4 linked regions of the Yarrowia lipolytica genome follow. The main gene of each other region encodes a partner of the protein of the gene in region 4 in a complex. Links are inferred from orthologs where the notes say so. Each region holds a gene or a part of one and is shown on either strand. Other genes may lie near its edges. The genes, in order: YALI1_E34870g, YALI1_D29852g, YALI1_F23351g and YALI1_F09896g.

Region 1 (2,884 bases), on a different chromosome or scaffold from region 4:
CAGTGAAGAATACTCCGATAAGCAGAAGGAGCTTGAGAGTTTTTCCAACCCTATCTTGATGAAGTTTTACGGAGTCTCTGGAGGTTTCCCTGTCGCAGGTGAGGGTGCTGCCCATTGCGGCGGCAAGTGCCCTACCGTGGTGGAGGTTGACTAAGTCATGAGTGCTACAGTAGTCACATGTACATGCAAAATATTATAGAATAATTTATGATCAATTGATCAATGAAGTAAGCAAACTTGGCAGAACTAGTGAGCAATGTATAGAGATGATAAATCAGTACTGCAGTGTATGTGCTCAGATAATGAGTAGCTAAGCAACTACAATTGTACAAGTAGTGAACTTTTGAAAGAGTTGAAGTTTTGAGATGTGTAAGCGTTGATTTATTATTTTGACGGTACATGTTCTGTAAGATCTCCAATTTCTGTCCTTCTGTGGCCATCCGATCAGGCGGCAAACTGAATACAGTACCTATCTACACATCCACTCCGTCCACATCGAAACCAGTGTACGCAATTTCGCCCCCACACTCCCTTGGTAAATCAGAAATATGTACAATTACAATAAATAGCATCATTTAACCCTGTCGCTGCTTGTGTCGAGGGTGGGTCTTGCAGTAGTTGAAAACTCGACCCTTTCGAGTGACAATCTGATATTAGTAACGTGTCTAGAAGGGGCGGAATCACTTGATCCTAGTGAACAGTGTCACGAAAAACTCTTGTGGATGGATACTTACGTAGCAGTCGGGGCATCGCTTTCGCACGGCAGACTTGGTCTTCATTCCTCGGACGGTGATGGCGGCAGCGGCATTCACGGCCGGTCGAGACACCTGGCCAGCGGTCTGGAACAGGGAGGGTCGCTGAAGAGTAATCATGGCCGGAACTCGGCTAATGGATCGAAGGACGTTGAACATTGCGAATTTGATTGTCTGGTCTTTGCAACGCTTTTATGTTGTGTGAATTTTTCAAAGTTCGCACTTCAAACAATATAAACTTTTGGCGCCACGGTCCAGCTTTAGCCACCAGGGTTATGTATATTTGGGACTGCACGGAACATGTGGGCACACACGAGAGACTTCCGTACGTATGTCATAAGAATGACTCGAAATAGTAGTCGGAGAAGTGTGAAAAAAATGGACGGGACTAAGCGAAAATCCGACTACAATCTGGTGTAATTCATACTCATCACGCTGTCCAACATATGTCTCGGATTTAATTCTCCACGGCCTTAACTCACCATTAGGGTATGTGAGTGGTATGATATTGCTGGGCTATACCGGAAAAGCACTCATCAGCCGCGTGCTAAGTTCGTGATTGCAACAAATACTCGAGCTTGGGGATATAATTAGGTACCCACGGGACCTTGATAACGCGATCGGGTAAGACCTCTAACTTACATGTGGAGATATCTTGCCCATAGTATCCTTTGAATGACCAAGAAATATACCGAGCAGGGGTTTGTGCAATTTGTAATTGTTAAATACCCAATTGGACTTGCTTGGTTGATCTAACAACAATCAACGACTCGTACATACTGTGCTGCCGGTACTCGTAGCACGTGTAATTAATGTAGACTGGGTGGAACTGCCACATCCTCGTGGTGTGATATCAGTATGGTTTTGTGAAAGCAACAGGATCGAAACTTTTCAACTGTCTCGTTTAGTAGTGGAGTTATTGGTCCCATGACAGTTCGACAGAGAGATTATCGAGATTGCGCTTTGAGAAATACTTGCACGTTTGTTGGAGACACGAGCACAGAGAGCTCCGTTTGAACCTGTTGATTGATTTTAGCGCTGTCATATCTACAAAACAAAGAATGTCATTGGAATCATCAACACAACCATCCATTGTTGGCATGACATTCAGGCTCATTTTACCTCAACTCTGGTAGACATACCTTCACAAGATATAGACTCCGGGATACCCTTGTGACCAGCTTAGGTAAGTCAGAACAGCAGAATGAAAGGGCGACAAGGAAAAGAGAGAGATCTTCTTGAACGCTCACATACTCGGCTACTCGCAATGACCTTCATATACTAAGAAGTCGCTTCTCACATCAAGACGCCACGTTTCTCTGTTCCGCACATGTCCCCGGTACCTCCACGTTCACCTCCCAACACCCTAACCTCACAACGCAGCATCACCATCTGGAGACGTGATTAACTCTGAAATCCGCCACGCAACACTATGAACCACCGACTGCCGCTGAACCAGTCGGATGTGCGGGCTGGCCGGTCTGGAGGCGGACCCATGCAAATGCTCCGTCGAATCTTCCGCCCCCGAACACTGGACTTCGAAACTGCATCTTGGGAAATCTTCTATCTCATTTTTCGACCCAAGAGGGTCTACAAGAACCTCTACTACCACAAACAGACCAAGAACAAGTGGGCCCGTGACGATCCGTCCTTCTTTATCCTCCTCAATGTGCTGCTACTGATCAGTGCACTTGGTTGGGGACTCGCCTACCAACCTGGAATCGTCCGAATCATTAGACTCATGTTCTACATGGTCCTGGTTGATTTCCTGCTCCTGGGACTCATCATTGCCGCCGTCTTCTATTTCACTATACGCAAATTCCTGACGAAGAAAGGTGACCAGTTCTCCCAAGGAGCTCTTGAGTACGCATACTGTTTTGACGTCCATTGCAATGGATTCCTCATTGTCTGGCTGCTGTTGTACGTGCTGCAATTTGTGCTTCTTCCAGTGCTCACTAAGGATAACTGGCTGGCGCTGTTTGTCGGCAACACCTTGTACGCCTTTTCCACCTGCTACTACTTCCTCGTCACCTTCTACGGCTACTCCAGTTTGCCATTCCTGGAACACACCGAGTTCATCTTGCTGCCCATCCCCATAATTATCGTCTTCTACATTGCATCGCTGTTTGGCT
Region 2 (2,910 bases), on a different chromosome or scaffold from region 4:
TCGTGATCTCCTGTTTTGGTATTGTCATCGTGACATTGTCCAGCTCCCACACGACCCCCACGAGCGTCCGTGTTTTGCCACTGCCCTGCATCATTGGACCTAATTGATAAATACACGGATGTCTATTGAACTTTTTCATCTACGCACATTGATATAATTCACTTTTCCATCTTCCAATCAGGACATGAGCAAAGATGGGGTCGTTTGATTCAGTAGTCCGATAACTATGTGACCATACGATACTGTAACCGCCGTCACTAACTATATACATATACCCCCTGATGTAGACCCCATGACCATTATACTTGTAACACGCCAGAAAGGACATTCGCTTCGCCCATTTCCTCGTCCCATGCTGGCGTTCACATTCATAGATAAACTCATCCAGTCGTATTCTCGGAGATGTGCTTTGTGACTCACAAGGTGAAAAGTGAAACTTCAAAAAGATTGTGGGGGCGTCATGTGGCATGGAGTTGGCAGAGGCCAAACTTGAACGTTCAACTGCCAATTACGCCTGGTTTATTCTATTGGCTTCTTCATTTCCGAGTACTTATCTAAATACAAGTGCAAGTCCTTCTCCCCTTATTTCCAACTCTGATAAGCAACCTGCATGATCTTTGTTGGTCCCTTTGTTGGTCTCTTTGTTGAACGCTCTTTGTCCGGCTGAACAAAGACTTTAACTAGATGTGAATAGGTGTAGGCTAACATAGGAGATGGTCTAAACTAACAAAGGGGCCGTTGTGTTTTGATAAAAGGAATTTATAGCGTGTTGGCGTCTTGGTTAGATTAAGACTCTGTAAGAATACCTGTAGTTATATGCTCTACTGGCGTGCAGAGAAGCCTATGGCTTTTATTCAGCATCAGATCGTTCCAAGTGAGCGGAGTGCTGAAAGATGAAGGCACACATTCATTAAACATGTTCATGTTCATTCGGGCATAACAAGCCCTATTCCTTTGGATATTTCGATATTTACCTCCACAGTGTGACTATTCACACTCCATCACCACTCCACCGGGAGCCACACCCTCGCATCGGGTGCAGGATCCAATGTTTGGAGATGCTCAGTAGGCAGTTTGCAGAAGCTACATGTACAGTATACCATTGTATGTACTATGGAGCCATAAAAGGTGATATTGAAACAATTACCCGACGCTTCACTTCACTACTTACGTATTTCACGACGTCCTTGGTGTGCAGAGTAGTGAGTCTACATAGCGGTTCATATCCATCCAAAGATACCACTTGTAAGTCAGAAGCGTCGAAACTAACCAAGTTATGGGTTAATCCGTCAAAGTCGTGTTAATACGGTACTTATGAGCTCAACAGATATGTCAAACTCAGTTGATATATTTGTTGAGAAGTACACGATAACTGGAATGCATCAATATCACTGAGTAATGGTCCAAAATGAGTGGAAAAAGTTGCAATCATTTCATCTCGTGGCTGAAACAAGACTTCCTAACAAACCAAGTGAGACCATCGACTCAATACCCTGAAAAGAGCATCTCTTCACTCGACCTACAACCACGTTTCCGCGGAACGACCGGGGTTCGATTCTCGATCAGACTACTACTAAACTTACTCATAATCTACAAACGAGTACTCCTATACGCTCTCAAAACTGTTCCAGTACAGCTGAAAATGAAATAAAAATGAACCTGAACTAAAAAAAGGAGATTATAAAAACATATTTATTCTCATTTATTCATATATTCCACAATTTGACCTTTTAATACTGTTCCACAATCGACGGCCAAAAATTTCACCTCCAGTTCAATTAAGGTTTTCCACTTGGATCAAAAATTGACCTGCACACCGATTCGTCATCACCACCACACAAAATGAAACCGTCGGTCAACATGCTCAAGCAGGCCGTTTCCAGCGCCGTCAAGGCTCAGGTGCCCGTCATCGACGCCTCTCCGTCGTACATCCCCAACGCCAACTTCGCCAAGCTGCCCCAGAAGCTGCAGGACTTTTTCCAGCGGTTCCCTCCCCAGCCATTTGTCAACTACTCGGCCAAGAAGGGGTTCAAGGACGCCCCCAACGCCAACCCCTTCCTGCCCAACAAGTCGCGAGTCACCAACAAGACCCACAAGCCTCTGTACTCGCTGAGACGACAGTCGGACCTGTACAAGCTGGCCCATAAGCACGGAGTGCACGAGCTGCTTCCTCCCATGGAAAAGACCTTCTTCGAGACCCGACACGAGCAGGCCAAGCCTCTGATTGGCGAGATGGTGTGGAAGAAGCATATCCGAGAAAAGACCAAGGAGTCGCGAAAGGAAAAGATTGCCAAGGCCTTGGAGACCATGGACGAGAAGATTGCCGAGGCAAAGGGAAAGAAACACTGGGAGAGATTGGAGCGACGGGAGCGAGAGAAGAAGCAGTGGGTTTAGACAGATACGAGAGGAGCAAGTGTCTGTACATCGAACACAACCAGATGGATGGCATCCGTACATCTCATTCGATCTACCCAGCAGGAGGATATGTATATAGTAATGAACTTGAAACAAGCCCAGAGCCGAGTGGCTCTTACAGTACAGTACATACTGTAGACTTCTGTGTACGTCGAGATGGTCTTTGCAAGATCGGAGTTGGGGTTTGAAGCTTTGACAAGGTGACAAACACGTCTCTAATGCGTATAGATCCCTCGAATACTGCCCCGAGTATCGAGAGTACTAAACAACCTGGTCAAGAACCAGGACGAGAATATCAAGTTCCAAAAGCCTCTGGATATGAGAATTCCGAGAATTCTGGCCAATTAATCCAAGGGATTGAGATTGTCTTCGCAAGTCGTCGCAGCATTGACGGTTGATAATACTGGTCGTACCTTTCTGTCAATGAGTTTCAGCAGAGAAGATAACTCCAACCCTAGCAAACTCGCCGACAAAGTGGTCGAGGTACAAGACACA
Region 3 (2,900 bases), about 1.3 Mb from region 4:
GAGCTGGGGCAGAAGGTGCAGCATTATGGATTAGTTGTGTGTGTTCTTGGTCGTTGTTTTCCGTGATGTTAAGAGTGGTTTATGATCGTGTCACAAGAGGTGTCTGTGAGCTGAGATCTATTTTTGGAAACGGCGACGGAATACTAGCGAGCGTGGAGGCCGTGGTCGTGTCGAGGTCGAGAGCAGTGTTGGACGAGCAAGCTGAGGGTCGGAGTAGCTTGGTTCACCGCGGATTCGAAAAAAAAAAACCGGTCGTTGCTGATACAATACAAGAACAAGTAGACGTCTATTTTCAAGTTTGCATTTTCTGGCTTTGCTAAGTTGACGAGGCGGTGTCCAGAACTTTAAAACCACATTAGAGTTTCTGGTCCGAAACCAGAAGGGCTCTTTGGTGTAGGTATCGTAGCAATGAGGAGTTTGGGGTGATCGAGCGGGGATTTGAGAAGGCACCACCCAAGTTCGTGGTCACGTGATTAATCCAGCGACTTTCCCGCCTCTTTTTGGTCCCCGAAACACCCTCTTCGGCCCCCTTGAGAAAATGTCACAGTACGCTGCAACATGCGCATAAATCCACCTGTTCACATTACATGAACTATTGCTTGGCTACCCTTTTGGTAAGCAATGAGCTAACCGAGAGACACGGAAGAGGGAGGGGGGTCCTTTTTAGAGCCGCTAAAATAAATGGCGCGCTGGTAAAGTGTCCACTTTTGGTCTTTATGGAGCAATGGCACGTGCTCTGATATAGATCCATTGCAATTCTGCGATCCAGCGGACGTGCCATACATCAATTCCATATCTCGATCACCTCGCAAGTCACTCTATTTACACATGGAATGTGTGTTTAAATTCTGGAAAAAACAGGCCCACAGGCTGAGTTGGAAAAACAGGGATAAGCAAACAAGGTTGGCTGGCTCTCCCAACACAGCAAATATGAGTGGATGTCAGACACAGTGGAATGAGAAAACAGCATACAGCATACATGGTCAGGGGTTTGAGGTGATATGGAAGAAGATCAGAGATACTCCCGGAGGATTTGACAGTACCCTATAAGCAAGCTGTTCACGTCATCTACCCTCGCGCCTATATACAACCCCAACTATTGGTTGTTGACATGGCTTCACAAGCTCCGAACTGTATTTACGCACTGCGAGATTCGTGTAAAATGAAATGCGCTTGTACTAACGTGATCTACGCGTGGCGCGGGGTTTGGTCGAGCTGAGGATTGATTGGCGCTGGATTCCGAGGCTGTATTTCAAGTCACGTGGGCTGAGAGAGAACGAGGCGAGATAACTGAAGCAGAAACACTACAAGTACAGTACTTGTAGTTAGTGTCTGGCGTTTCCCTTCGTACTGAAAACACTTACACACCCTACAATGACATCATGATCACCAAGAGTGATTGGTTCCGTGGAGATTTAGATATTTGAGATGCAAGAGTGTCGTCGGCTCCGGTGGCTTAGCTGCGCTACAGGTACTGTACATACTGTACTCGTACTTGTACCAGCTTGACATAGCTGGCACGTTCCAGTATATGATAGTGGAACCACTTGTTAGGTATATTGGTTGAATTTTAGTAAGCGGGATCAATTCAGCTGACCAATTGGTACTCAATGTATTTTACAGCCTATCTCCAGCATGTCTGGAACCCATGCTGTATCATACTCCTTCATGTTTCTGATCTCTACAATACTGTAACAAAGTTCCACTTTTTTTGGCCAACTCTTTTCCCAAATTCTTAGCATACATCTCACTTATGGATCTCATCCCCATTTAAGTGACAAACCCACAATCTCAACAGGCAATTATATTCAATAGGCGCTTTATATTATTAATACCTGGAAAAAACTCACATGACCTAATCCTCTTCCAGGGCTCCGCTAATTGTCGCCCTCCTTAGTCATATGCTCTGCTCATACACACTGTCATTTAAGGTTTCGAGAATCCAACTTTTCACCCAGATTTCAACATCTCAGTTAGGATCTAACACAACTACACACAACCTCACTCACCATGTTGTACCTCAAGTCTCTGATCAACTGCATCGACAACTCTGGTGCTCTGCTGGTCGAGTGCATCAAGGTGCTGCGAAAGTCACCCAAGAACTACGCCGGTGTCGGCGACAAGATTGTTTGTGTCGTCAAGCGGGCCCGACCCATTCCTAACGGCTCTTCCATCACCCAGAAGGCCCGAAAGGGTGAAATCAAGCGGGCTGTCATTGTGCGAACCAAGAAGGAGATCCGACGACCCGACGGCTCCTACATCCAGTTTGATGACAACGCCTGTGTGCTGATCAACGACGCCAACGAGCCCGTGGGTAACCGACTCAACGGAGTCGTTGCCAAGGAGGTGCGAGAGCGAGGCTTCACCAAGGTCGCTTCTCTGGCTCCCCGAGTCTTGTAATCTGTGCTTACCGTACCCGTACCGTAACCATGGCTTGTATATAGTATTTAAATGTTTGGTATTCACAAGCTGTAGTGTGGGATGGGTAGCTTGGAAACAAGGAGTGGTTGTAGTGCGAGTACAAGTAAGCCCAAGAAAGTAATTTATCGATGATTATAGATAATGAATGAATGTTGTCACAGATGTAGTTACAGCACTCGTACGAATACTTGTACCGTATGTACTTGTTCTGTGGGGATAGAGCTTGCCTCCATACTTCATCACTATCTTACTTCGTCACTATTGTACTCCATCATAGATTCAGCCATCCAGAAATAACATGTCAAAGTGCTATTTCGAGATAAGGAGCAACTCTTGTTTGTATCAACTTGAGGTTCCGTTCTAGAAGACGGTGTTTGATCAAGTAGAGAATCTCATAGCTATCGTCGTATGCCCTCAAAATGTCATCTCCACCCCATACCAACCAACGTCAGACCTCCTCCATTTTATGAGACAAAGTC
Region 4 (3,004 bases):
TATATATATCGAACCTCTCAGTAGCTGTTGATGAAAGAAACGCGGGCCACAAATGACTCTGTTGATCTTGCGGAAATCACTTAGGTGATAATTAGTGATATTGCCGAGGCTACCTTGTGTGTGATTCTGCGTCTCAATTCTTGTACGTGACATCTCAGTCTGACCTAGGTCACGTGCACCAATACTACAGGTAGACTATCGATCCACCTCTATGGCAGTGGGGACATCTTCTGCTGACATTGCGATTCAGGTTATATGTTGCTTTGGAAGGATCCTTTTGGTATATGCGTTCTCTTACTACAGTATGTTCGATAGTAATCTGGTGATGCTCCTACCCTCTTGTATTACAACACATCGACCTGCCGATCTGACACTCATACCTACTGATCTGGCTGTGTCTCTATCCACGCTCGTTTGCTGGTTGGCTTTGATTGTTCATTCAATGCATTCATCATTCACATTTGCTATGTGCTTCACACTTGGTTGGTTGGTGTGCATCCCCTCATATATACAAGTTTAATTCTGCTGGACCACCTTCTGGGCGAACTCATGGGCGGCCTTCTCGCCCTTCTTGAGGAGAATAGCGCCCACCAGGGCGTAGACGGATCCGCTGGTGATCTTTGATGAAGGAGTGGCGTTCGTGACTCCCTTGGTGTTCCAGTAGACGAGTTTTTCGAGGCCGTTTTTTGCGGCAAACCCAGACAGATCAAAGTTGAGCGACTCCAGAGCCTTGACGGGGTCGCTTGAGGCCTCCTTGGACAGGTTGTGAGAGAGAACCGAGACTGGGAAAAACTTTCGGCCCACAAACGCCAGTTTTTCGTTGTGAGAGGGCAGTCCGCCAGCAAAGGACTTGTGTGTGAGCACCTGGAGCAGCAGAGAGTCCTCCAGGCCGCTGACGGAGTCCGACAGGGACGATTTCAGAGCATCAATCTCCTTTTTGGATTCGGACAGACCATAAGGACGGGTCGAGTCCTTGGCCAAAACGTCCAGAGTCACGGGACCCTGCAGAATCGCCGAGCGGGGGATTCGGCGCTGCTGGTACGACAATTGCCGGGTGAAAAGACGGCCAAACATGGTGGGTGTGCTGTTTGTGGAACTCTGCAACGTGAGTGTGTATCTGTGCTTGTGTGAAAATTTCATGTAGGGTAAGTGGATAAGGTTTGGGACCTGAGAAGGGACGACTGCTTGGGGGGTGAAATGTGAGAGGGTGGTGAGTTCGATTCTCGGTGGTGTCTTGTGGGAAATGTTGGAATACCGGTGCCAGAGGAGTAGAAGTTGTAAAAAGGGGTGTAAAATGAAAGGGAAAAATGGGCATACAATTTTCTTGGAAATATTTGAGTTTACTGGAGCTGATTTGAGTGACTTGTTGTAATGTTGATAGACGAGGTATTCAACTAGAGTCCAAGTACAGTGAAGCTAACTAACGAAGACCAGGAGTGAGAGATGATCTGGTATCGGACTGATCCAAGCGATAATGAGACCTTTACACGACATAAACAAAAACCTCGAGTGGGATATCTATAATGACTACAAGTATCGGTACAGTACATTCTCGTATGATACATCTTGTACAGTGTACTTGTACATGCACATGATGGTTATCGATAGTACATTTCGGACAACTTCTGCATAGAATATTTCTAACAATTATACATAGAAAAAGGAGGATAAATACTAGAAATCTGTTCATAATGAATCTCAGATTGATTAGGACAACTATACCGTTCCCCCACATGACAATACAAGTGCTCTTACCATATCTATGGTCGCTGTCTTTGTCTGTAGATGTATGTACTGGTATATGAAGGTCCTAAACCAATGGTTGCTACTGTACTTGGGGTATATACAACTGATTTTGTATTCATCAATAATATTATCGTATTTTTCATTATATTTTTCTCGTTTTCATTTCTCATGAGTGATTGAACACGGGCATACTTGTTCGGTAGCTACTCGTACTCGTATTCGTACTCGTATTCGTAATTAGTATCTGGAATTCACGACAGTGTATGTAGCGGAGGTTCCAGGTGTGAGCTATGTTAAATCTTGAGGACAAGGAGGTCAGCATGTATGATTAGCTCACATCTCACAGCAGCTTCTCAGCTAGTGCTGCCAGGTTACTGACACCACAAATGGGGCACGAAACTTCCCCACCATCTTTGCTGTTGTGAATAGGTGGGATGCAGGTAGTACTGCCTTGCGAGGTTTTCTTCAGACTGCTTATCGGCCAGAATCATTTCCGTATCGTCAGGTTTACAGATCTTGCGATGAGTGTACAGCTCGTCAATGTACACCTTGTCCATACACAGGGTGCATGTTCCGGAGCGTCTCACCGGTGGGTCGTGGTTCATGTTGGTAGTGTTGGTATTTCGCATCGTGTGTTACGGAAAGATAGAGGGGGGAGGGGACCCATGTCTTTATATATCTTTGCAGACGTGATAATACGCGACCATCACATGAGGTTTGCCAACTGTCCGGATGCATGATATCCAGTGGCAAAGGCGTGGTAAAGAGACCTAAGACACCAACTGGTGTATCAAGGAAGACTGAGCAAGAACATAACGGAGAAACCCCAGAGAGATGACGACGCAAAAAATCTGGGAGATGATAACCACCACAAACTCCATCAAGACCACCACAAACGTCTCGTCCGACACAAAACAATGGGTCCACAACCACGACACTCGTAATTATCGTGTGTTTGCTGAACCTCTTTTGGGTGCTGTCAGCCCATGTTGTGTCTTGTGATACGGAGCAAAGAGGGAATCTAAAGGGGAATCTAAAAGGGAGACTATTTACCCCGGATTAGCAACCCTCAGAAACACAGAAACACGTCCTTTTGAAACGATCCCCGGGACGAGCCAGCGTATTTCAGACATGGGGCCACTGGTTCTGTGTCACTAGTGTCGGTGCAAGTTTCAATTTTCTTTTTGTCGCCTGAAAACCGCAGTATTTTGACCACAAGGATCGTTGGAGACCGCGTGGTTCGGCATTTGAAAAACGT

What was found.
Region 1: YALI1_F09896g (region 4) and YALI1_E34870g share a complex: the UniProt entries of both Schizosaccharomyces pombe proteins name them as parts of the mitochondrial large ribosomal subunit. The link is inferred for Yarrowia lipolytica from reciprocal best matches to the Schizosaccharomyces pombe genes mrpl15 and rtc6.
Region 2: YALI1_F09896g (region 4) and YALI1_D29852g share a complex: the UniProt entries of both Schizosaccharomyces pombe proteins name them as parts of the mitochondrial large ribosomal subunit. The link is inferred for Yarrowia lipolytica from reciprocal best matches to the Schizosaccharomyces pombe genes mrpl15 and mrpl25.
Region 3: YALI1_F09896g (region 4) and YALI1_F23351g share a complex: the UniProt entries of both Schizosaccharomyces pombe proteins name them as parts of the mitochondrial large ribosomal subunit. The link is inferred for Yarrowia lipolytica from reciprocal best matches to the Schizosaccharomyces pombe genes mrpl15 and mrpl38.

Annotation. Positions count from the first base shown.
Region 1 is NC_090774.1:3,485,003-3,487,886, reverse strand, and holds YALI1_E34870g (uncharacterized protein), read right to left. Parts: upstream 912-2,884; coding exon 735-911; intron 648-734; coding exon 576-647; downstream 1-575. Other genes in the region: YALI1_E34880g (uncharacterized protein), read left to right, coding at 1-154; YALI1_E34857g (uncharacterized protein), read left to right, coding at 2,185-2,884. UniProt on the Schizosaccharomyces pombe protein: Component of the mitochondrial ribosome (mitoribosome), a dedicated translation machinery responsible for the synthesis of mitochondrial genome-encoded proteins, including at least some of the essential transmembrane subunits of the mitochondrial respiratory chain.
Region 2 is NC_090773.1:2,984,107-2,987,016, reverse strand, and holds YALI1_D29852g (mitochondrial 54S ribosomal protein mL59), read left to right. Parts: upstream 1-1,842; coding exon 1,843-2,394; downstream 2,395-2,910. Other genes in the region: YALI1_D29841g (uncharacterized protein), read left to right, coding at 2,443-2,493. UniProt on the Schizosaccharomyces pombe protein: Component of the mitochondrial ribosome (mitoribosome), a dedicated translation machinery responsible for the synthesis of mitochondrial genome-encoded proteins, including at least some of the essential transmembrane subunits of the mitochondrial respiratory chain.
Region 3 is NC_090775.1:2,333,113-2,336,012, forward strand, and holds YALI1_F23351g (mitochondrial 54S ribosomal protein uL14m), read left to right. Parts: upstream 1-2,010; coding exon 2,011-2,400; downstream 2,401-2,900. Other genes in the region: YALI1_F23331g (uncharacterized protein), read right to left, coding at 1-24. UniProt on the Schizosaccharomyces pombe protein: Component of the mitochondrial ribosome (mitoribosome), a dedicated translation machinery responsible for the synthesis of mitochondrial genome-encoded proteins, including at least some of the essential transmembrane subunits of the mitochondrial respiratory chain.
Region 4 is NC_090775.1:987,763-990,766, reverse strand, and holds YALI1_F09896g (mitochondrial 54S ribosomal protein mL57), read right to left. Parts: upstream 1,141-3,004; coding exon 517-1,140; downstream 1-516. UniProt on the Schizosaccharomyces pombe protein: Component of the mitochondrial ribosome (mitoribosome), a dedicated translation machinery responsible for the synthesis of mitochondrial genome-encoded proteins, including at least some of the essential transmembrane subunits of the mitochondrial respiratory chain.